Struthio camelus: one gene and its partner. The protein of the gene in region 2 purifies or fractionates together with the protein of the main gene of each other region. This does not show direct contact. Links are inferred from orthologs where the notes say so. Each region holds a gene or a part of one and is shown on either strand. Other genes may lie near its edges.

Region 1 (11,847 bases), on a different chromosome or scaffold from region 2:
ACACAGGGTGTTTGGTTTAGGAAATCCACCAGAGTCTGCCCATTATTCGTTTCAACTACAACATATCTTTCAGAGTCAGCATCGTAAGCTGGACGCAGAACGCTAGAAAGGACGTCCTGTATCAGGCTGTCAGAAGCTGAAACAGCGTGGCAGCTCTGAGATGAGAGAGGATATTGGAAACATGGTCCCACGAGCAAGCCAGTAACACCAGAAGCAGATCATTCTTGGATTTTGCCCAGACTCAATCATGCTGTTGCAAAAAAGGCTAATGTCACACAGGGGTTTGTCTATGAGAACGTGGAGTAAGTCTTCCATTTTAGGCTGGACTTGTCAGACTTCAGCCATCCAGTTTTGAATAATAGAGTACAAGACAGGAACCAACTGGAAGAGAGAATCAGAAGTCTAAGAAACAAGATCTACAAGCAAAGATTGAAAGAGCTAGGGTTGCTTGGTATGAAGAAAAAAAGATAGACAGAGGAACCCACAAGCACTTCAAGCTGTGATTCCTGTGGGCATCCCCACTACTGTGTTGCTTTATCTGAAGATTAAAACATATATGCTCACCAGAAGCTATTTCTAGTCCTTTAATTAAACCAGGAGACCCACAAAGCCACTGCATCACCTCTGGAAAATTTTGTTTCACATTCCAGGACTGCAGCTCACTCCCAGAGGTTTAGTTTGTGGCATGTGCAACAGAAACAACTTTTAAGAGGCTACACACCAAAAGTAGATTCTCTGTCTTCAATCCACTTCAGAGCCCAATCTGCCTTCTTCTTGACACAAGGCATTGTTTCAATAGCATTAAATAAAAAATCCCTATAAAAGGAAACAAATAAAACATCAGAGTAATCACACAAAAGTGATTTACCTGTTCTGGATGTCTCTACAGGCTCCAACAGGCAGTGGAACCCACCATGCTAGGCTCTGAACTAAATCAGAGACAGTCGTTACCCTAAAGACCGTGTGATCTCTGATAACAGGGCACAGACAGAAGCACATGGGCAGAAAGGGGAAGGGATCTACCCAAGGTCTCAGAGAAGGTGAGCTGCAGAGACAGGAAGCAAACACGGGCCTCCTACCTATCGAAGAAGTGCCCGTCCATCCACCAGGCCATGCTGCCTCTCATACTCCAAGCCAGCTGGTTGCTAGTCCCTGCTCAAGAAGCTAAACCTCACCTTTCCCAGTTCCATGAAAACGTCCATCTTTCCTTTTTCCACAAAAAGAACTGGACACAGCTCCCACAAGCGCAGTCTCTGTTCCCATGCTAAATAGCTGAAAGAAAACCTTGCAGCTTTCCCAATAGCCTTGTGCCTTGAGGATGGAGGACAACACTTCACCCCACAGGATGCCACTCTAGGAAACTGGGCTCTGCCTGCCCATTGCCATAGCACAGTCTCTGAGGGGAAGTGCTTCTTTTCAAAGGTATTATCATTTGGACTAGGCAGATCTCCAGGTGACAAAGGTGATGGGTCTCTCCAAAAAACTCAGTACTTTAAAATTAATAGCTCAAGTTGTATGGAAAAGCACCAACCATTAAAAAAAAAAAGGAAGTAATACATTGGTTAGCATATATTACCAACCCCAGTTGGGTAAAGAGCACTAAATTCATAGAGGCAGATCCTTTGCTGATGTGAGAACAGGCACCTCAGGAGCACAGTAACCAGAGGGGACTTGTCTAATCTTTAACAACAGTTCACACAGTCTGCATTTCTTACAATCAAAACCCTATACAAATATTAACTAACCTTCTCAACACTTTCATGGACTTTCGTTGGTCAGTAATACTTCTCTCCGTTTTGGGGGTCAGGGAGGCAGACCTAGAAAGCTTTAACCAACCGTCTCCAACTCCAACACTACGTCAATGTGAAACAGAAGGACGCAGCTGCTGCCCAGCCACTGTGCCCCTGGACTGGACAACATTTCCCACGGGTCTGTAGCACATTCAGATAATTACCTTTTCTCAGGATCTTTGATGTAAGTGTCTATAAGCAAGCTGTACATCTCTGAGTGAACATTCTCAATAAGGATCTGAAAGCCATAGAAACAACGAGCTTCTGGGATCTGCACCTCCTGACTAAAACGCGCCACCTACCAACAAAAAAAAGAAGCATACCAATGAGTACAGTAATACTGGCACTCTCGAGCCTAATAGGAGATATGATTGATCTTTACCACGGAGAAAGGATGGGGACATTTCAGCCCTATTTTATGAACAGCTATGTCACAAAGCCAGGTGTGGTGCAGAAGAAATTAAAGAAAGCAAGATGAAGTACATCTGCTATGCATACTGCATAGAAAAGTGCAGTGAAGCATGACAGCACACACACACACAGGAGGGGAACAGCAAAATATCGCAACAATAAAAACTTCACATCGAACAAAGCCTCAGACTTTTTGTTCATTATTGAAAAAAATAAACCATATGACAATGACATGTTCATAGTATGTGTGTATATATTTCATGACATATTCTACGTGTTCAAGATGCTGAAGATCTAAAATGAGTATTTCCACTCAGATACCAGAGGTAATCCGGGGATGAGACATACTGCATTCCAGAATTGATTTCAACAGAAAGAGGAGATTTCCCCAGCACTTCAGTAGCACCCATTTATAGCCCAGAAAGATTCCAGGATGCCATTTAGTGAGGGCAAAAGAGGTTTTACCAAAACAAAAAAGCTGAGGAGGGCATAGCTCAATTCTCCTCCTGCTTCTGCTGTAGCACAATTACATGAAGGAGCATGGAGTTTAATTAATTCATTGAGAAATGCAGATCAACACTGTCAGTCAGAAGGCTGGACTTAAAAAACTGTGTCCAAGAATGACATAATTTGGAGTCCTGCTGACCAGAGTTGACCTAATTTAATTCAGACACTCATCCTAGCAGAATAAGCTGCTTATTTCCCTTGGCAAAGGTGAGATGATGGTGAGAAGAAAGTTTACACATTCAATAACAAAATTATGGCACTGATATGAGATCACCAAAGTGAAAAGACGCTTGCTAATAAAAATGAGTAAGCATTTAGGCTCTCTGTAAAGCTTTCTCACCAGGTTTTCATTTACAATTCCATCACTGGCTGCAAAAAAGGCCAGAACATGAGAGATAAAGTATTTTTCATCTGCTTTTAGCTTGTTCCAGTGCGGCAGGTCCTTTGACAAGTCAACCTAATGAAAAGAAGAAGAAAAACATTACTACCCTTCTGTGTTTGTAATTTTGCAAGAACAAAAGCAGCATAGTCAAACCACTGAGGCAGGATTTTGGAGTCTGCTGTCAAATCTTTACTTATAAAGAATTTTAATACATGTAAAATGTACACCAGATACTGCAGTATCTCTGTTTCTGTAACTGTAACTTCATGTGACTGTTTTGCAGCTTACTTCCCCACAAACAAGTGTGAATCTTCTGAAACACATAGCAAACGTAAAACCTTTCAGGGTTCCAATCCTAGAAGGCCTAAAACTTCAGCAACAATATTTCTACTGAAAAAGGGATTAATTTACTTTTACATAGCAGCTTTCCACATTTTGGGAAATGATTTGGAATAAAAAAAAAAAAACAGTATTAATTTTTGAATTATAAATAAATCAGATTATGAAAAATATCAGTATCTCATTGGCATGAGTATGAACATGCATCAATACGCAGAGCTCAATCCGAGATGCTTTAATATTCTACTTGCAAAGAACGTTGATATTGCAAGAAACCTACAGCCAGGTGTGCCAGAAGATGCACTGAGGGCATTTCTGCCTTTGACAGGTGTTCACCCTCCATCCCTCCCAAGAACAGCCCTGGGCAAATGCTGTGTAACTGCTCTCCTCTAGAAGACTGAACTGTAGCCACGGTAGAAAAACCACAACTTCCTTAGCATAGGCCTTTTTTGTTTGTTTATTTGTTTGTTTTGAGGGAGTTTTGAACCACAGCAGCAGTTAAGTAGGGCCAGATGTGAAAACTATCAACGGACCTAAAAATGTTTTTATATATGTAGATATAACATACATGTGTTTACATATATAAGTATCTATAATGCATATATATGTAAATATATAGGTATAAAAATTTATAGGTCTGTCTGTAGTTTTCAGAAATACTATATATATTCATATGTATACAGCAGGTACACATGCGTGTGTATATACATATAGATACACACACATATTATATATACATACACATTTAATATTATATATATACATACACACATATACACACACACTCCCTATTAACTTTTCAGTTCAGCTGGGAATAGGCCGACACATGGTAGGGCAGTATGAGAAGGAACCACTAATACAGTAAAAGAGCAATGCTATCAGACAGGAGTTTAAATGCTTCTTACAGCTTAAATCAACTTCTAGTGACACAGGACAAGTTTCCCTGGCAGGGAATGGCATAACACTTCTACAGACAAACTCATTTCATCCCATTATAATTTCTGGCCTATTTAGAGTCGGTCGGTGATTTCAGTTTATCCCTCAGCAATTGGAGGTCACTGCTCACAGAAGACCAAAGACCACCGAAGCTCTGAGCTGAACACCCCACTCACCTGCAGGGGATCGCTCTAGCTCAGCACGGCGTTGCGAAGTCTCCGTGCAGCTAGCTAAGACAGCACTACTCGGGTCTGCCTAACCAGTGACCTCAGGGAAAACAAAGTGTCTTAACTTACAGTTTGCTTTATAATACAGGGATAGCATCTAACCAGGGTGCTCTGGAGTAAATTAGAGGCTTTTTTTTTTGCAGTGTCCCCAGTTATCATCACCTTTCTGGAAAATAAGTACCTAATTATGAGCATTCTCATAAAATTGCTCAGAATATTTTATATAGGCAAGGAGGTAGCTGCACTCTGAGAATCAGAACACTGAAGTTCAGAAACCATAGCACAATGTGTGTGTGTGGGGAGAAGGGGGTGTACACTCACACACACTCGCATATATATACACACATACACTCACACATACAGATCCTCAAATTTGATTTAGACTCATTCTATAGTCAGAAAAGAGGTTCCCTTGAATGCAATTCCACCTCAACCTAAACTGGACACCAAAAACACGTCAGCTGATTTGCCCTGTGGAAGTGTCTTTCTTTCCACTGACTATGAAGAAAGCCTTCCTCAGCTGCAGACACCTGATGTTCAATAAAATTAATTCCACCCAAGGTTACAAAACACAAACCAGCAGCAAAGCCAGGAATGAAATGCCAGGATCCCTGTCCAAGAGCCTTGCACCACCCCACGGGCCCCAGAGCTCACCTCTTCTGCTGTCCAAAAGGAAGCTTGAGCCTGTTTATACATTTTCCATATGTCTGGGTACTGGATGGGGAAGATGACAAATCGATGGGGATTTTTCCTGAGAAGGGGCTCTTCATTAGGTTTCAAACCATTTTCAAGGGCACCCGAAGAGGAGTTCTGCAGATAGAGCACAGTTGTGGTTAAGGGCACAGTTACTGCCTTCCTTCGGCTTCCCTGTATCATGACGGCAGGGCCTAAAAGCCATCCTCATCATGGAGACACTCACCTGCCCCCCGCAGGGGGTGACATTACCCTCTCCCAGGGTACTTGCCCTTTGGCCCTCCATATGCCCTCTCTGCGGCCAGGAACACTGCCTTTCTGCCTGGCACTATCTAGCACAATTTAAACATACTGTCCTCCTGCCAGGTGCCAGGAAGTGTTTGATACTTCGGTGCAAAAGAGAAAGTCTTTCTGCGGTAGGAGGAGGAAATCACAATTGCACTCAGAGCCCAGGGAGCAGAGAGCAAACACCGCGGTAGTGTATACTGCGGGAACACGTGCAAGGTCACCTACCACTAGCTGCCAACCATATCTATCCAGAGTTCACTTCCAAGGCTGTCTCAAATTAATTCAGCTGTTACTTCAAAGTTCTTAGGCCCACATGGACTCTCCTAAAAAAATTGTCATTTGGATCACAGTGATCAGTCCTGTCTTACACAAAACAGCTCTATCTCATAGCAATTCTCTTTCCCTTAAGGTTCACATAGACAATACAGTGATTTACTATGCCCTACAGCATCCCACAGGATGCAAGGCAGAGCACAGCCCACACGCTTGGTACTGTTCTGAAGTCCGTCCGGTTGCAGTCCTCCTTCCTCAAAACGCTGCCCCAAAGTAAGGTGTTTCTCCTTTCAAAAGCAGGTAGCACGAAGCCCCCACGCCTGGAGCTACGCATCCCCAGGAGGAAGTACATCGCACCGGCACGCACGCAGGCTCCCCATCAACTCCAGGGCAGAACGCTCCTTCAGAGACCTACGAGCCCAGCAGAACCAGAGGAAGATTGACACGTAGGAGATATGCCAGGGAACAGCAGCAAGAGCAGGGCCATCGGCTCCTGTGATCAGTGCCTAACACCATCCATGTGACACGTACCACCAAACACCTACTGAAGACAGATGTGGTGACAAGCTGTCAGGACGGTATGCTGCAACCTCTCCAAAAAGTGCCGTTGACCTCACAGTTATCATCAAAAGCTTAATCAGCAGGACACCTTGAGATCTGAGATCCTACTGACACAGCTGTAGAGGATAACTTACAATAAACATTATACAATGTATTATAATATAGCAGGGAAGGGGAGCAAAAGGTGTTCAAACACCACTGCTTCCACCACCTTAGGTACTGGCAAGGTCCTATCTCTACCCAGTCCTCTTGCAACTTTTCACACGCTAAAAGGTAAACCTTTAGTTCAGTTTGGAAAGTACCCCAAAGTAAAATAATTCTATCACTTATTGGTGCTGCCCACATTTAAAGATATATATATATATATATATATATATGTATATATATATATATGTACGTATTGCATGACAGGCATATTTACCATAGATTCCTACCGAAAATGCAGCAAAAACCATATCATGGTTTACAGTTTTACCAGTTTATTATATTTTAGGTTATTACTCAACTACATGAGACAATTCTTCCAACATCACCCTGCAGGGGCGCTGCTGAACAGGGGAGAGTTTCAAGCATCCTAGGGGACTGCATTCTGCCTCAGCGCTTATGCCCCCAGGGCCTGCCACACAGCTAGTCCTTCCATCTACTTCTGCATCAGCTGTCATCCCTGTGAAAGGCAACACTGTAAGGCTTCCTTATTAGTCCACTGTTTTCCTGAGCAAAATCCTTCAATATTGCATGGGGACTACCCCCAAGTATTAATTTTAGCCTAAGAGGATGCACTAGCAGTTACTAAAGCTACCTGAGCCATTCAAAAACCAGTATGCTGGATCCATAACATACAGAGATAATTTGGAAAACACTTTTAGCATGTGGAAGTACAGCAGAGCACAGAAAGAGCAAATAGCAATTCCAGTAAGGCAGGAAAAGTGAAGACTAACACTGAAGCAAAAAGTATTTGTGATTTTCCTTATGGCCTTTAGCTGCCACTGTGCCACAGGCCACAGACAGAGGGGCCAACACCCACCAGAAACACTGTCAATGCACAGTAAAGACAGAAAAGTAGCAAAAGATGAAAAGGTCCATGAAGCAGTGTACGCACCCTAACAGGAGGTCTTGATGGCTGGGAAGCAGAAGGATGGCTTCCAGGAGCAGACTCAAAGGGATCTTGTGACCCTGAGAAGGGCCACAATGCAGAACAATAAAGTGGTGTGGATTTAAAAGAATAAATAAATAGATAAATAAAACTAAAAACAAAGGAAGAGTCAAACCCTACAGAATACATCATACTGGAATGTGCCTCTCAACCCACCTCCCATATCATATAATCCCTGTTGGAGACAGAGGAGAGTTTTGCATGCCTGCAAACTCCAAAAAGGAGCAGGCATGTGCTGCTTGGCTCCAGAGCAGGTATTGCCTCTCCTAGTTTTGGGTACTATCCCTCTTAGCAAAGTTTCATCTCAGTAATACTTATTACCTAGTCTGTTTGTTAATCAGTACACTTCTTGGTACAACTCATCTGAAACCTCATGGAAGAAAATCCTCCTTTAGTTTCAGTTTCTGATACACGTCATGTTCTGACCACTGCTGGAGTTTCAGAGCAGTTGGCAGCCCTCACTGTAGGAGCACAACGCACTCCTGGTCCTACCTTCCTGGCTGGGGGCATTAGCAGAGATGGTCTCCCCAGTTTGCCTCCACATTCAGAAAGCCTATCTGCTTCCTGCTTCCATCCAGCATCCTGGGTGGGTTTGTCCTTCACCTCACAACGGTGCATAAAACAGAGCAAACATTCATCACAATACCAAAGAGTACCCAATCTCACAACGAGACTACGCTATTTTCCATTCAGTCAGCATGAGCCAAACACACATCTCCCAGCTATTCTGCAACTATTGGAGATAAACTTCTCTGCTGACGTCAATAAAACACCAATGCACGTACTAAGACCAACTGGTAGTACTAAAGTTGCTTCCAAGAATTTTAAATTCAGCAAACTAGGAAATAGTAAACATATGCATGTATACAACCATGACCCCACAGCAAAAGCTGTCAGGATGCATCCACAAGTACTTCAGCTACAGGTGTTAGTTATAGCTAAGGAAAGAGGAAAAGAGTAGTGCTGGCAAGGTTGGCCAGGTCCACCAGGGCCACAAAGACAGGCCTGTCTGGTAACGCTAAGGCCTTCCATTTATCACAGCTCCTATGGATGGGGAGGAAGAAAAGCTGACTTGCCTAAATTGAAGCTTCTTCCATCCGGCCCTGCAAATTCCCAGCTCACTCTGGGAAGCAAGGACTCGGGCAAGCCCAGGTGAACCTCAGCGAGACGACTCCCAGCAGAACATGGCGATGACATGATGACAGATAAAAAATGGACTCCAAAATCACTCTACATAAAGCAAGCTACAGGCGATTTTCAAGCTCCTATGTCCCTACAAGACGACAGGCAGCCCAGTTTTCTGCTCCCGGAGCAATGGCTGTGGATCTGAACAGATCCCAGTGCCTCCGGCCACCGACCTGCTGCACGATATCTCTGCACCTGACCTGTCGTGCGATACCTATTTAGGCAGTAAACTCTTCAGAGCTGGGGACGGCTTTTAATCAGTATTTGTACCACTGCAGAATAGCAGACCAACTTGCTTCGAAGCTCCTGGGCCCTGCTAAACTAACAGCAGATTGTGACCTCCTTGTATCTGAACGGGAAAGCAGGTGCCAACGCAGCTAGGCTCCAAATCCTGGATCACTGTCGTTATTTAGTATGCTTATTTTTTTTAGTACTCTCTGCAGTCGCGAAACGACAACTATCGCAACCCTCCCAAGCCACAGCGCTTGCCTCTCCCGTTTTTATCTCCTCTAAGCGCTCAACCACGTTTAAGTTTAGGAAGGGGGGGGGGAAGCGCTCTCCGAAGCACGAGGAAAGGCGACGCTGACCTGAGGCGCGCCGGCAGCCCCCGGGCAGTCGGCCCCCCGCGCCCGGCACCGCTCGGAGGCGGTGGCCCCCAAGGCCACCCCCAGCTGGCAGGTGGCCCCAGCTTTCAGACAGCCGGGCCAGGGCCTAGGGCCGAGGAGGGAAGCGGCAGGGCCCAGCCAGCCCAGGCCCCGGCCCCGGCCCCGGCCCCGGCCCCGGCCCGGGCAGGTCCCCCGGCTCCGCCCAAGGCCCCCACGGCCGCCCAGGGCCCCGCGGCGGCCGCCCTTACCCGCTCGGGCCCGGCCGCCTCCGGCAGCGCCGCGCGGCCCCGGCGCTCGCCCATGGCCCCGGCGACTGGGCCGCGGCGGCGGTTGAAGGGGGAACGGCCGCCGCCGCCGCTCCGCCTCCTCCGCCGCGGCGCCTCCAGCTGCGCCGGCAGCGCCGCAGCAGCGCGCCCCGCTTCCTTGCCGCCGTGAAGGCGAGGAGCGGGCGCTGCGCCTGGATAATCGTTTAAAAGGGGTGAAGCACCGCGGCCAGGCGTGGCCGTTAGCGCTGCCGCGGGCGCTGCCTTCCAGCAGCGGCGGGCGCCCGGGCAGCCATCACGGCTCGGGGGGGCTTGGGAGGAGCACGGTCATCTCGCGGGCCGCGCCGGGACAAGAGAGAGCAGGTGCTGCACAAGTGCGTGTCCCTTAGCAAGGGGGGGTGGGGGGGCGACAGGGACACCCGAATACATTCACAGAGATACACCATTTCAGACCCGCGTAGAAAAATCCGTAGCAATGCAGCGTGCACGACGCCCTCAGCGCGGTTTAGGGGAGCAGGCCCTGGCCGCGGTTCAGCCGGGCCCAGCGCAGAGCCGGGGCAGTTTGCTGCGGGCTCGCTCCGGGCTGCTGCTGCCTGCGCCTTCGCCCTGGTTACGGCTACGGACAGAATAACGAACGAGATAGTTGGCACGAACTGCAGTTCTTTTTCTTTTAAATAATTTTAAAAAAAGAGAAAAAAAAATTTTAGACTAGCCTAAGAGATGACAATGAAGACAAACTTGGGAGATTTGATCGTTTTGTTAAATTTACTAAAGAACACGTACAGCTTTGAACATAATATTGATAGCTGTCACAGATACAGGAGCTGAAGGTGGCCATAGTCACTCTAAAAGTGTATGAGAAAAAACAGTCTATGTACAGAAAAAAAAAAGCCTACAGGTTTTTCAAACCAGCCCTGGCTACTAGAGACACGAGAACGGCTTCCAGCTAATGGCTCTCATGCTGAGACATCTGTCATCAGTAAGACGTCCTTGCCTCTTTCCCTGGATTTGCCTGCACTGTCCTTTGAGCACAAGCAACGCTAATGACAGTACTATTAAAATTTGTTTTCACCACTCTCCAAAGGCGGTGAGAACAGGCCAGCGGACAGGGGAAGGGGGGGGGAAGATGGGGGGGGAAGAGGGGGGGGGAAGAGGGGGGGGGAAGATTTGGTGCCTGGTGTCCCACAGGGGAGGGGAGGCCGCAGACCCACAGGTGAGCCCTGCCCGCTGCCGCTCCATCCATGCGCTCCCAAATCCAAGCTGCAGCTGACCCACAACCGCAGAAAGGTACGCGCCAGTGATTCTCATACTGTTTTCCAGAAATTTAGCTTTTGTTTTGTTTGTTCTCAAGCATTAAGGATTTTCAGGTTTTGGTTTTTTTTTTGTTTGTTTGTTTTTTAAAGACTTCTCAGGAGTTTCAAAGCTGCCACAGAATTACTGAAATCTCCCCTCTCCAGTATGAGGTTTTTAAGCATGGGAACTGGGAGGTGGACCAGGTACTCAACTCATCTGGACCTGATCTGCACCCCTGGGGCTTTTTAGGCATCTTGCTGAGAGGAGTTCAAGTCTCACCAGGGACAAGGGCTTAGGAAAGTTCAGTGGCGAGATCCGTGCAGGGCAGCTGACTGGTCCAAAGCACGAAGAGAGCTTCATTTTTCTTACATCGAGTTTTCTGATGAGAGCAAACACACATGCCTAAGCATCACATTACTAAGCAGTGTACCAGAAACACATTAACAGTAAGAAAATGAGAAAACATGGTTTCATACAGCTAAAAGTATCTGCCATTATATGACTACTACTCTTTTTTGGTCAGCCTTTAATATGTATTACCCAAGGATATGCACACAAAATTCCTTAATATTCCAACTCACCACAGCTCCATACTTTAGAGCACTGAAGACTAACGGTTTCAATTCTGGTCCAGGGCATATGATTAGAGGAGCACTGCTACAGAGCAAACCCAATGGACCCATTAGCACTGACAGATTACTCTGGTGCATACAAGCTTGAGTGTGCTGATGGCCCAGTAGCTCATACATCAATCACCCCCTTAAAAATAAAACCAAAAAAACCCTACAACTCTGAAGTATATTAATCACACTATTTAATAAAATTGACCTGCTTATCAACTGTCTTAATCCCCTGCTTCTAACTTGATTAATCTGGCGGCTGGTTCAAAATTCTCTAAACAAGGGATTATCCTTTCGAGTATTTGTCACGATGTAAGAACT
Region 2 (12,692 bases):
TGGAGCAAAGTTTAGTGGTCAAGAGAACTACTAACAGCAGTAACTACAGCAGGAGATGTCAGGAACTGCATATGTATTTGCACACGTGCGTGCACATATACACACACATACACCCCCTTCGAGGTACCTTCTTTCCATCCTTGCCTGTGCTGTTTCAGCAGCTGCTCTGCTCTTTACATCCCCTCGTTTTTTCCTGACAGCTTACTTCCCCCAAACCAGAAGGCACCATATCACGTGCTTTATGACTGAAGAGTCTCCCTTACACACTTCTAGGCAAAGATCACTAGTTCTGTCAGAGACTCAGCAAGGCCAAGAACGTATCTGAAGTACCCACTCCTATGGAAAAGCTGAACGCTCTCTGGCTACCTCTCCAGAGGGCCCACTGAGTCATGCCTCAAAACAATGCAGTGAAGAACAGCATGTTAAGAGAGGACCAGGAGGAGCAGATGGTGGGGCATAGCAGACTGGACTGCTTGTGGGGGAGATTGTTCCAGCAGCATGGAAGACGACACAAACGCGTGGGATGACACACTGAAAACAACTGTCACACAAAACAACAGGGAGAAACAAAAATGCCTTTTTTGGATTATTAAGAATTAGATTATTTCCTTGAGGAATGACAGCTTCCAACAACATTCAGTACTACCTGTTGCAAAGGTGTTAGAGCTCAACAGCTGAAATCTTACACTAGCCAAGGGGCAAAACAGTTGCAGCCCCTTGAAAGAACACTGTCAGTAATCCCATCAGATAATTAGCTTCCATGCTACATCGATAGTTGTTTTTCTCCTGACAAGGAGAGACACCACTAGACATAAGGACTTTGGAGTCATTCCAAATGGAAGCTCTGGGTTTTGATGATCGAAGGGTTCTTGCTGTTCTCCCCCACATACACATCCTCTCACCTTGTATTCTCCTTCAGTAGTTTCAGTTTACGCCACGCACTTCCATCCTCAATCCCTAACTAAATTTAACTGAACTGTAGGTAGCCTGTGCATGACAGCAGAAGAGAGAACTAAGCATACAGGCCTGTGCTACACTAGCTGCACAGAGATCCTTTTTGGCTCTTGCTCTCTGCATGGGGTTACAGAAACAGGGTTAGGAAGACTCCCGTGAGGTCATTCTGTCCCTCTCTCTGCCCCAAGGCAGCTTTGGGCCTGCCTGATAAAAATCCACATAGGATCACCTGGGTTCATCATGCCATAAGGAACAACAGGAATATAGCCCACTACTTCTTGTCTACACACTCAAGAGTTTTCAAAAGCTTTTGTGGCTGACAGAATAAAGAAACAAACAGAAAAAAAAAATCACATCAAGATGTGCAGCAAAGCCAAGAAGAAAGCACATGGTTCACGCGCCCTGGCAACTGCTTTAGGCAGGTACTCATTTTTACAATCCCACTAATGTCCCAACTACCCCAGTGCTCTCCTTGCCAAATCTGGATGATTCTGCAAGGATTATCATCCCCCTCAACAGGCTCAGCTCTAAAACAACATCAAAACAGCAGTCTTCATATCATGAGAAATGTGCTTTTTACCTTAAAACCAAAATAGTTGTAGGAGAAGTCTCTATCATAGATAATGGCAGAATTCAGGCGCTGAGAGGAAAGAACATGGATTTATATTTACGTTCAGATTATTTGTGGCTCATATTTTCAGTATAACAATGCTATCATTGTTCTGCATTTCTAGCCTCACAAATCCAGCGAAACAGATATTTCACGCAGGAGGGAATAAAGCATGGAAAAGCACTTAGTCTGAAACAACAAATGCACAGTTTTAACGAACTTTTTCAAATACAATGCACAGTCATTGGCTACATTTTGCTGAAGTCTCTAACTAGATACTAAGAAATAGAAGATAGAATCAAAATGTGAATGTGCCTTCTCAGTAAGAGCACAGGACTTGCACAACTTGAAATTAGACACCAAACCTCCTCTCTCCCTTCTGTGCACACAGAAGAGGTTGCTACAACAAAAGGCACTTTTTTGCAGAGATCATGACAATGAGGACATCTAAGAAAACAGATCTTGCTACAGGAATATCTTGCTGCAGGAATATCCTTAAACGAAGGAAATTCCAACACCTTTTCTCCTACTCTCCAGAACAGAGCAGTTATCTTCACTGGTTTTCTGTACTGGCCTTTTGGGGCTAAAACAGACATTGCTTCCATAGAAATAAGAAAAATAAACTGTCTAAACTAGTTCACTGAATCTTCAGAACTTTAGAACTGGATAAATGTTACATACATCTTTGTTGGCCAAAACTATCTCTAGAGTTTCTTTGGAGATCATTGGCGAGTGCTTCCCATTATGAGGGTTTATGTAGTTGTAGAGATCATCCATCACATCTACAGCAGAAACGTGTTTAAAAAGAGAGACAAAGCAAGTCACCCACAGACATACGTTCACATAATTTGTCATTAATTTTCAAGGATTTAACCAACAGGACTACTCAGCCTCCAAAATAACCCCCTCCAGCTCTACATGCACACAACCTCTCACCTTCATAACACAGTCCAACTTATTTTCTACCTGCTCAGTGCTATTATTTTCTACTGACCTTGAAAAAGCACTTTGCTTAGAATATTTTTTAATAGAATTCATCATTCGGTGACAGCTAGAGAATTTCTGTCTAGCCAACAAAGTTCAGCAGGCAATTCCACTTTAGAGGCAATAAGCTTTTCAAATTGATTCTCTTTTCACAGGTTTAGAGATTTTGTTTTTAAAGTGTGAAAAGAAAGTGGGTGCATCCTAATTTCAATCAATTACATTCTTCAGTCTCTTTTATACAGATATTTTTCGCAAAACAATTTGATTTTCCTTGCGACATGCATAAAACTGATGTTTTTCATTCCCTTGGCATTTTTAGTTGGCCTAGGTATTTAATTTCTGCTAATAAAGAGCTTTACGTATTTATATCCTCCAGAACTCCTACTCCCTTTCTGACTAACTGCTCTCCACACGCCCCCAGACAGACTTACCACTGAATACTTTCTTAGTTTCTTTGTGCAAATTGGACACTGCAATTCTCGCTGCCAGGATAGCATAGTCAGGGTGTTTGGTAGTCAGAGTCGCAGCCGTTTCAGCAGCCAGCGTATCCAGTTCCACTGTTGTGACACCACTGTATAGCCCCTGAATTACCTTCATGGTGATCTGGGCCTGAAACAGCAAAATTCTGCAGATTAGCAATCTTTTGTTTAAAAAAAGAAAAAAAATTTTCAACCATTTAAAAGAAATAAAACATGCTTCGCTATAAGGGGTACCTTTCATTCTGTCTGAACAGCAAAGCAAACTAAAATACAAAATCCTCTTGATAAAGTACTGATTCCTAAAGTTTTTAAACCAAGAGATAGTAGGGCCAGAAAGACAGCAGGGAAAGAGTGAAGAAAATACAAACTGTCAACACAGAATCACCAAGAACTTTCTGAACATAGACACTTTCCTAAAGGCTCGCATAAAGTAGCAGCAAAGTGCATGGAATAAAAGTCACATTAAAACTTTACTTGCCTGGAAGTTTTAAAACTCCAAATGAGTTTAAAACTTGACTTTGTAAATGCCTGATGAGACTTGGAATCTGTTATACTTTAAATTTTATGATGACAAGAGCAAAAAACTCCACCCTGGACAAGTCAAAAAGGATTTTGCTTCATGGCTTAACCTCATCTTCATCTATCCATTGGGACCTTTCCTGGGAAGAGACTTCTGCATCTGCTGCTTCGAGAATCTTCTCTGCTTTTCTCTCAAGCATTTAGTGCTGATCACTACAATCAGCATTTAGTGCTGATCACTACTGTAGTGATCAATATCACTACAATAGTGATATTCTACACTGAAGAACAGAGGTCTGACCTAACACGGTAACCGCCACATACGTTTGAAGTGCCTACAGCCTTACGAAACCAGCACGTGTAATTTTCAAACTTTACTCTCTGTAAGGAAGCATTCAGATTAAGAATTTTTGTTATTTCCTTGTAAATCATCTGTCATGAGAAGTTCTGAATCCAAAAGGAGAAATCCAAGTCCAGGAAGAGATATCCCACACACTCCCGCAGAATAAATAAAAATACATTGCTTCACGTAAAATTAGCTTTGCTATTAAGATGAGGGTACAAAGAGTCAGGAAGCCTAGGGACTTTATTTCTGTCCTCATCATCAACTCCCTCTGTCATTCAGATCAAGTCAATATACTCTCTATTTCAGCATTACTTTTTTGGTACAGAATCAATGTCAGATATTTTACAGATGTAATTGAAGACAAGAAAACAAATCACAAGATCTTGGAGATGTGAAGAGCCTAAGTTGACAACTCCAAATGAACAGACTAGCTTTGCACATCGGCGTAAAAATCTCACAGATGTCAATGGATCCACGAGGCTGTGGAAGGAGAAGCTCGTAGAGGTGGGATTACTAAGCACCCAAAATCATAGACAGCTCGGAAAAGTAAAGTAGGGATATAATGGCAGGGGAGTTCCGTCACAGATAAAGGGCACCTTTCCATTTTATTAAGAGAGGACCAAGATTTATTTTCCATACAGCATTGTTTAGCTTTGCAAATTGAAACAGAAAGCAATCAACTAAAATATGCGAGCTGGAGCAACAAACAACTCAAAGTACAAGAAGCATAATCACCTCCCTCAAACCCAGTCTCAGACTTTGTACTTGTGAGGCAAGAAAAACCCCAAAACACAAACAGCTAGAAGAAACACATTATGGAAAAATAGAGTAGTCAATGTATTTGCCAACAGTTCCTGCACAGGCTGCCGTGCTTAGCTTTCCCTTTGCTAAAAGGAAGGCAAAAAATGGATAGCACCTGCTCAAAACTATTGGCTTTTAGCAAAGATCACCACAAGGGGTAGAGAACAGGAAAAGAGGAGAGAGGACAGACTCACTGGATCAACAAAGTCAGCATTGAGCCCATAGCATAGCTTCTGGATGCGTGACGTGATCTTGTCAAACATGACACGCTCTTGGCGTCCATCTGTTGAGGAAGAAGTTACAAACACAACAGCTCCCGTTACACCAAGAAGCAGTTAAAAACAGTATCCTTCTACCCAGGAGATCACACAATAAGGAGCCAACTCTCTTCTGCGGGAAGTCAGGGCGGGAATCACCAAGGACTACCCGTTTAGGTTTCCTGTTCAGGCTCAAGAGGAAGGGAAAAAAGGTGGCTAGCCCTCTAACCCCCTACCAGAGGTGTCACCCCACACCCTGCCCCCATGGCCTGGACAGGGATCCCCCCACCACGGGGTCACCCCACACCCTGCCCTCCACAGGGACCCCCCCCCCACCACAGGGGTCACCCCACAGCCTGCACCCCACTGCCTCCACAGGAAACCCCCCCCCACCACAGGGGTCACCCCACACCCTGCCCCCCCGCTGCCTCCACAGGGACCCCCCCCACCACAGGGGTCACCCCACACCCTCCCCCCCGATGCCTCCACAGGGACCCCCCCCACCACAGGGGTCACCCCACACCCTCCCCCCCCACTGCCTCCACAGGGACCCCCCTCACCACAGGGGTCACCCCACACCCTGCCCCCCCACTGCCTCCACAGGAAACCCCACCCCACCACAGGGGTCACCCCACACCCTGCCCCCCCGCTGCCTCGACAGGGACCCCCCCCCACCACAGGGGTCACCCCACACCCTGCCCCCCCACTGCCTCCACAGGGACCCCCCCCCACCATAGGGGTCACCCCACACCCTGCCCCCCCACTGCCTCCACAGGGACCCCCCTCACCACAGGGGTCACCCCACACCCTGCCCCCCCACTGCCTCCACAGGGACCCCCCCCCACCACAGGGGTCACCCCACACCCGACCCCCCCGCTGCCTCCACAGGGACCCCCCCCTCCACCACAGGGGTCACCCCCACGCTGCCCCCCGCGGTGCCCCCCGGGCCGCGCCATCCCCAGCCCCGCCGCCCGGCCCCCACCTCGCTTCACGACGTGCATGGCGGCGGTCGGCGTCCCGGCGCGCGGGCTTTCCAACGGCTCCTCGGCGCCAAGCGCGGACTAAACGCTTCCCGCTCCCGCCAACTGCGCTGGCCCCGCCGCGCCGCCGTAGCGCTCCGCCCCCCCCGGCTGAGGCCGCTGCCGCCGCCATCTTGGCTCCGGGCACTGCCGCCTTTTCAGCTCCTTCCCTCACCACCGGGATTTCACGCGCTGCCTCTAACCCCTTCGCGGAGGCTCATCCTTAACTACATCCCCATCCTTCCCCCTCTCCTCCCGGAAAACACCACCCTAGCAGCGGCAGCCGAGTCGTTTGCCCGCTTCCAAGATGGCGACCGACCTCCCACCCTCTCCTTCGAGAGCGGCGGCGAGACGAGAACGGGCCGTTTACGCCAGCCCGAGGGCGCGACGTACGGAGCCGCCGGAGGGACAAAATACCCCCGTTTTGCAAAAAATAATTACAACAACGAGACTACCGTTGTAGTAATAACAACAATTACGCTAATTATGCCAAAGCAAGGCCCAGGCAGAGCATTCAGTGCGGTTCTCCCAACAAGGGGCGCCTGCACAGCCCCTCTCTGCCCACAGAAGGCCCTTGCCGGTGAGGGGCCGGGGCGAGGACAACGGCACATGGACGACCGCCGCGTCCTGCAGCCGCCGTTTTCCCCCCAAAACGCGGGAAACGCCCCGATTGGCAGCGGCGCCCGCCCGGAGGGGACAACGTGGTGCCCTCGGGTGCCCCGGGCCTGCCCGGGCAGGGCGCCGCCCCGGAAAGCTCACCAGGTTTCAGGTGATGGTGGCACGACCCGTGAGGAAAGACGGGCGCTGCGGGGGACGTCGGTTGGCCCCGCGCCGACGCCGACCCCAAACGGGCGGTTACCGGCGCGGGGAGACGGACGCGGTGGCAGGGGCTGACGGCCCCCCGTGCCCTCCTCGGCAAGGGTGAGACTCGGGAACGTCTGGACCTGAGCAGGAAATGACAGTCCATTTTGGGGCCATTTTTCTGCGTTATGGGAAAAGACCCTACAGGATTAAAAAAAAAAAAAGAAGAAAAAAAACAGCATTGTGGTTTATTTGAGCCTTCTGAGTTGCGCTCGCAGCTCTTTGCCCTCAAGTTCTCCTAGGTTTTGCTTTAGGACCACTCTTTTTCACTCTTTTTTTATTTGTTTATAAATAAATATATATTTTATAATGCATATATATATTTTTATATATATATATAATCTATATAATCATATATATTACATATAATATATATTTATATTTATTTTTTTATAAATATATAGATAAATGTGTGTGTGTGTGTGTGTATGTATATTTTATATATATTATGTGGAAGGCCGGGCCTCCCGCTGGCCTGAGTCTTCCCCAGCTAGGAGACTACCTCTGGGCTAGAACAGCGCTCCAAACTAAGGCAGGTTTGTTTCAGTGCCTTAAATGCATGTGATACGAAGAGGGGGGTCTACGGCGCCGGGGATGAGGGGGCGGACGTGCAGCGGGACGCTCAGCTCCCAGCTCTCGCTGACGCGCGAGGTCGTGCCGAGGATGGAGGGAGAACGGGGAGCCTGAGCCCAAGCCCAGCGCTTGGCCTGCTCTGCGGGCACCGGGGAGGCTAGGCCAGCTGGAAACGGCGGAGGTTTGCGATGTGCTCCTCTACAGCGACGTGCTGTGTGGCGTGGTGATGCCAGCCCCTCTTCTGGACCAAGGCGTCCAAGCCGTCCCTTTCAACAGGCCTCTTTTCCAAAAAGACGAGTCAAGACCCCATCAGGCCTCGTTTCTAAAAGAGCCACTGGTGATACTGATGGTTACAGAGCTGACTGCATAAGCAGCAAAGCTGCGCAAGTCTCGAGTTCGCGTCTTCCCTCTGGATGAGGGGAGTCACCCTGGTGCTCCCCACCCCCCGAGGAGCCCTGTCCCAGCCAGGCTGTACGTGTCCTCAGGAGGGAGGCTCTCTCCACTTCTCCCGATGACCATCTCCTGCTTTCCACACCCCTGTTGGCTTCTGTTGTGTGTTCGGAGGTCATCTGCTGGACTGGGACCTGCAGAAGACGTATCCCGAAGATCTTGAGAGCGCTGCAGTGCCAGGCTGTGCCAGCGGTTCTGGTGCACGTGCAGAGCTGTGGGGCTTAAGAAACGTTACTGGCCAAAGCAGGCAAACCATGAGGGTGAGGTGGAGGCCTGGAGTCATGGACTTAGCTGCATGGAGGCGTCTTAATCCTACTAGGGACAGGGAGCCCACCCTGCTCTGTGGCCCTGGCTCTGGATGCCTCTAGGCTCTAGTGGAGGCTTTGAGCATTTTGTGGGATAACTAAGGGGATCTAGTCTGTAAGGAGAGAATACAGAGCCTCCTCCTCTTGCTTGTTTGGTGTGTCGTGGTACACCGTGCTGGGTTCTGAGAAAACTGATTTCCCAACTCTGATTGATTATTGCTCCCTCACTTGCCTTGGGACAACTGTTTGCAAGGCTGTGCCATAAGCAAGACCACCAAAATTATCCACGTTAAACATGCCTCTTTCATTCCACTCCTCTCTTGGGTGGCATTACTTTTACTCTAGCTCAGTTCCTTGACCCAGAAACATCCATAGAAACGCTGTTCATTTGAAGGTAGTCCCTGTTGTAAGCTCGAGGGCGTTGCACCGCCGCAGGACCGCAACTGTGCTCTGGCAGATGGCGTGAGGTGGAGGCAACCGCAGTCACCACGTGGCGTGTCTCTTTCTTCCTTTGGTTTTCTCCCATGATGAGCTTCCTTTTCCTCCTGAGTTAGATTCAATCGCAGTCACCTCCCCCCCCCGCCCAGAGACATGAGTTTATAGCCTTTCCGAGGGAGTCACGAGCTGAGCGGAAAAATGGGCAAGTCAAGACCCAATCCCACTCTGCAGAAGTGTTTTGTACTGAAAATAATGTTTCTGCTTAGTCCAGATTAGAAATCTGCCCCGTTCTCCGCTCTCCCTTCCCTACTGCGGTGGCGGGGGATAGTCCCGGTGGAAGGGATCCTTCCCGCTGCCGAGGAACCTGCTCCGCTCAGAGATTAGGAACAGCTGGCTCCAGATGCAGTGTCATGGAAATGGCCAAAGAGAGGCAGGACCAGCGCATCAATCACAAAAAAAAACCCGCACGCAATATTGAGGGACACACAGAAGGTGGTGTGCGTTCCCTGGAAGACGCAGCGGAAAGGAGGTGGAAACGTTAAGAGCAGAAGACAGGTCAATGGCTGGTAGAAATACTGACTCACTCCTGGATGGATCACAGTTTTAAGTCGAGCTCTCTTTCAGCAGCTGCTGCTACTGCCGAGGCTGAGCCTGTGCAAAGGCAGCAGCAGTCGGTCTCCCAGAAAACCAGCACCGCTATTTCTGCTCCTTGCGCAGCTGGCCAGTTTTCCAGCAAACAGGCCAGGAGAGCACAGACTGGTGTAAGGGAGAATAGGGTGACAGTAAGGGGTGTCTTTGGGGTTGCACCCATCCAGGCTGACATGGAAAGGGAGATGGAGCCGTTTCTCAAATTGCTCCTTCCTTCCACCTGGCAGCTTGGAGGGGACAGCGGACTGCTCCTATCCCGTATCGCTCCTCCGTGTCCCTCTGCACCGAGCTCCCCTTCCTCGCGTCCCCAGACCTGCTGGGGCGGGAGACTGGCGCCGTCGGCTCCCTCCTGCAGCAGGCTGGGGCTGGCCAGCTGGGGACGGCACCACGGCGCTCGCTGCCGCGTGGGACAGCCCCGGCCTCGCCGAGAGCCCGGCAGGAAAACCACGTCCCAGCAGAGGCTTGGTGCTGAGCGGGGCCTCCCCAGTGCACACCCGGCACCGAGCGAGCCCGGGGGTCCCGTCCGACCCCAGCCCCGGCGCCGAAACTCGTACTGGGCGGGAGGGGGGGGGTGATGCCTCCGGTCCCTCCCGGCTGCCAACCCCGGTGGGACAGAGGGTTTGCAGGGGGTGGTGCAGGCTGGGGCTCCCGGGGACCGTGGCCCGGGGCGGAGCTGCACCTGGCGCAGGTGAGCCGAGCGCCGGCCCTCCGGCCCGCCGAGCAGGAAATGCCGTGCACCGGCCGCCTCGCCGCGCCGGGGCTCCCGGCCCCCGCCGCACCGCCGGAGCCCACGGTAGGACGGGGCCCCCGCCGGGACGCCCCTGCCCGGCAGCGCCGGGGCTGCAGGTGCCCCCGTCCCTGGCGCCGGGCGCTGCAGCGTGCGGGTCTCCCTGCCCAGCCCCGATTACGCGGGGAGCAGAACTGGGAACCGCGGGGCTCGCTGCGGCACTTGGTGCCTTGGGCGCTGGCAGCCCAGGCGCCGAGGGGATGGCGAGGCTGCGGGTCTCCGTCTGGCTCCGCTGCCCTTGCAACTCCACCGCCGTGTGGCAGTGCAAAGGTCAAAGTGCCCTTTCCCCATCGCGGCCGGGTAGAGGTCTCCTTGCGGAGACCCCCGGGGCTGCAGTCTGGCAGAGCTGCTGGGATTTCAGCAAGCGGCCGGAGCCTGGGCACGGGGCAGAGCGCGGTGCCCCCCGCCTGGGGGTGGCCCTGCATCCCGGGGGTTTGGGCGGGCGGCGCGGGGCTCACGCCGAGGGCGGCTGGGGGCGATGCTTTGCAGAGGCCAGAGCATCGCTGCAAGGGGCTGGCATGACCCCGCCGCTTCCCCTTCTGTTGGGGAGGCAGCCCGACGGCTCACGCTGCAGGTCGCCTGTCTGCAAGCTGCGCGGGGCCGGGGAGGCCAGGAGCAAAGGGGGTCTGTTGGGTGCACGTGCGGTCTGCTGCCTTCCCAGCCCGTGCCGCTGACTTCCCTTGTGGGGAACGGCCAGAGCAGAGCAGATGGCCCAGGATGACGCCCTGCGAGGGGTGCTTTCCCTGCCACCACTCGGGACAGCAGCCTCAGGAGGCTTTTCTGCCTCTGATGGCACGGCCAACCCACACCGCCAGCTCCCATCGCCTGCGGGTTGGGTCTTTCAAGGCTGCCCCATCACGCTGTCCGTGTGCTGCCTCCTGGGCAGCTCGCCGCGACACGCTGCCAAGCCACCACGGTTCTCCTCCGGGCACCACCGTAAGCCCCTCTGGGCTGCCACCAGCTGGGCTGAAGCCCTTGCCTTGGTCTGCCTTGCCTCCCCGCTTGCCCGCGGTGAGCCGACAGCGAGTGGTGGGGCTGGGGCGCTCACGCTGCCGCGAGCACGGCCGGGCTCCAGGCTGTGCCGAAGGCTGCCGAGCGCTGCGGCCGCTCGCTCTTCCTCGGCCCCATCCTGCATCTCCCTCCTGAGACCTGGTTGCATCTGCCAGCATTTGCTGTGGGCAGGGGCGCTGGGAGCAGATCCCGCTGACCCAGCAGGTAGACCAGATGTGGTGTTCAGGGTATTTGCATTTGCAGATTTTAAGCAGCTGCAGTCCTCTGAAACATGACTGGTAGCGGGTGACGGCAGGAGGGCTCAGCTGAAGCGATAAATGTGCTACCTGCCTTTGCAGGCTCCCATCTGGAGGCTCCTAGGTCTCCTGGCTGCTTTGGGTGTGTGAACAAGGTACCTCACAGCAGCCCTGCAGGAGAAGGGCAAGAGTGGTCTCTTGGGCCAGGAGACTTGCCCAGAGGGTCCTTGAGCGCCTCTGGGCAGTGTGGGACCAGGACAGCGGGAAGCACCAGAGGCTGGGGGACTGCAATCTGTGCTTGGAGCATGGGGCAGCCGTTGCGCAGCCGGCCGGGTCCATCAGGACTTGCTAGGTCTGCGCTGACACTTGCTGTGCCCGGGCTGCCTCTTGTAAATGCACCTGGCATCTTTGTACCAGGCTTCCTGGTGGCCAAATAGCTTTGATACAGTGCCAGCTGCGAGGCAGAGCCCATGGTGAGCCAGTACCCGTGGCACAGCTAATCTGCAGTTCGTTTCAATGACCTGCAGGTAATCCAGATTGATTTCTGGTATCTTATCTGGAAGGAGCATTTTGAGGCTCTCTTTGACTTCTGGAGGAAGCAAGCGCACCCAGGTGCTGGCACGCCTAGGCTGACATCCCCTTGGATCAGGTCCCTGGAGGAAGCTGTGCTCCACCTGCGGACTTTGCACACGAGCAGACATCCCTGCGCCCTGGGCCTGTCTGTGGCCCACAGACTCCTTGCAGAGCACATGAGCCCCAGCCCATCACACGCGGGTGCTTCTCTGTGTCGGGAAACAGGACCCATCCGCGGTCAAGGACCGCAGGAGCGTTGGCTGAGGCTGCAGTGAGAGGCAGCAGGGCGGGTGGAAGGAGCCTAAGCGATGTGTCCCATCGCTTTGGGGAACGTTGCTCTGCTCGGGGTGGCCCAAGGGACTGTCCTTAGTGAGAGCAGAGGTGGAGGGCAGGGGGTAGCCCAACCGCAGGGCTGCAGCAGGAGACGGCGGAGCTCAGCTGAGGCCAGGCTCCTTTGGAGAGGAGGAGGAGGAGGAGGAGGAGGGCGGCGGGGGCCGGCTGACACCTCTCCTGCCCGCGCAGGTGAACATCTTCCAGGCGGAGAGCCCGGGACCCCCGGCGCAGCCCCCCGGCTCGGCCCCGGCCCCCGGCCCGCCGCGGGCCACCTGGGCCGGCAAGCACGAGTTCCTGCTGTCCTGCCTGGGCTACTGCGTGGGGCTGGGCAACGTCTGGCGCTTCCCCTACCTGTGCTACCGCAACGGAGGGGGTGAGTCCGCCCGGCACGGCCGCCCGCGCTCGCAGCCCCTGCCCGGCCCCGGGGGCCCGTGCAAAGCGCCAGGGGGTTATTGCAGCACACCCCGACCCACGCACACGCGTGCACCCTTGCCCCATCCCGCTCCCC

The links.
Region 1: the proteins of RRM1 (region 2) and RRM2B purify together in Homo sapiens (affinity purification with western blotting; 3 studies listed by BioGRID and IntAct, counting the BioPlex papers as one, with this or other methods). This does not show direct contact. The link is inferred for Struthio camelus from reciprocal best matches to the Homo sapiens genes RRM1 and RRM2B.

The regions. Positions count from the first base shown.
Region 1 is NC_090943.1:145,618,055-145,629,901, reverse strand, and holds the start of RRM2B (ribonucleoside-diphosphate reductase subunit M2 B), read right to left. Parts: upstream 5,706-11,847; 5' UTR 5,572-5,705; coding exon 5,512-5,571; intron 5,403-5,511; coding exon 5,247-5,402; intron 3,166-5,246; coding exon 3,049-3,165; intron 2,089-3,048; coding exon 1,955-2,088; intron 817-1,954; coding exon 722-816; intron 1-721.
Region 2 is NC_090942.1:224,376,497-224,389,188, reverse strand, and holds the start of RRM1 (ribonucleoside-diphosphate reductase large subunit), read right to left. Parts: upstream 6,369-12,692; 5' UTR 5,952-6,368; coding exon 5,933-5,951; intron 4,977-5,932; coding exon 4,888-4,976; intron 3,158-4,887; coding exon 2,980-3,157; intron 2,347-2,979; coding exon 2,246-2,346; intron 1,595-2,245; coding exon 1,535-1,594; intron 1-1,534. Other genes in the region: sodium-dependent proline transporter-like, read left to right, coding at 9,972-10,037, 12,374-12,557. UniProt on the Homo sapiens protein: Provides the precursors necessary for DNA synthesis. Catalyzes the biosynthesis of deoxyribonucleotides from the corresponding ribonucleotides.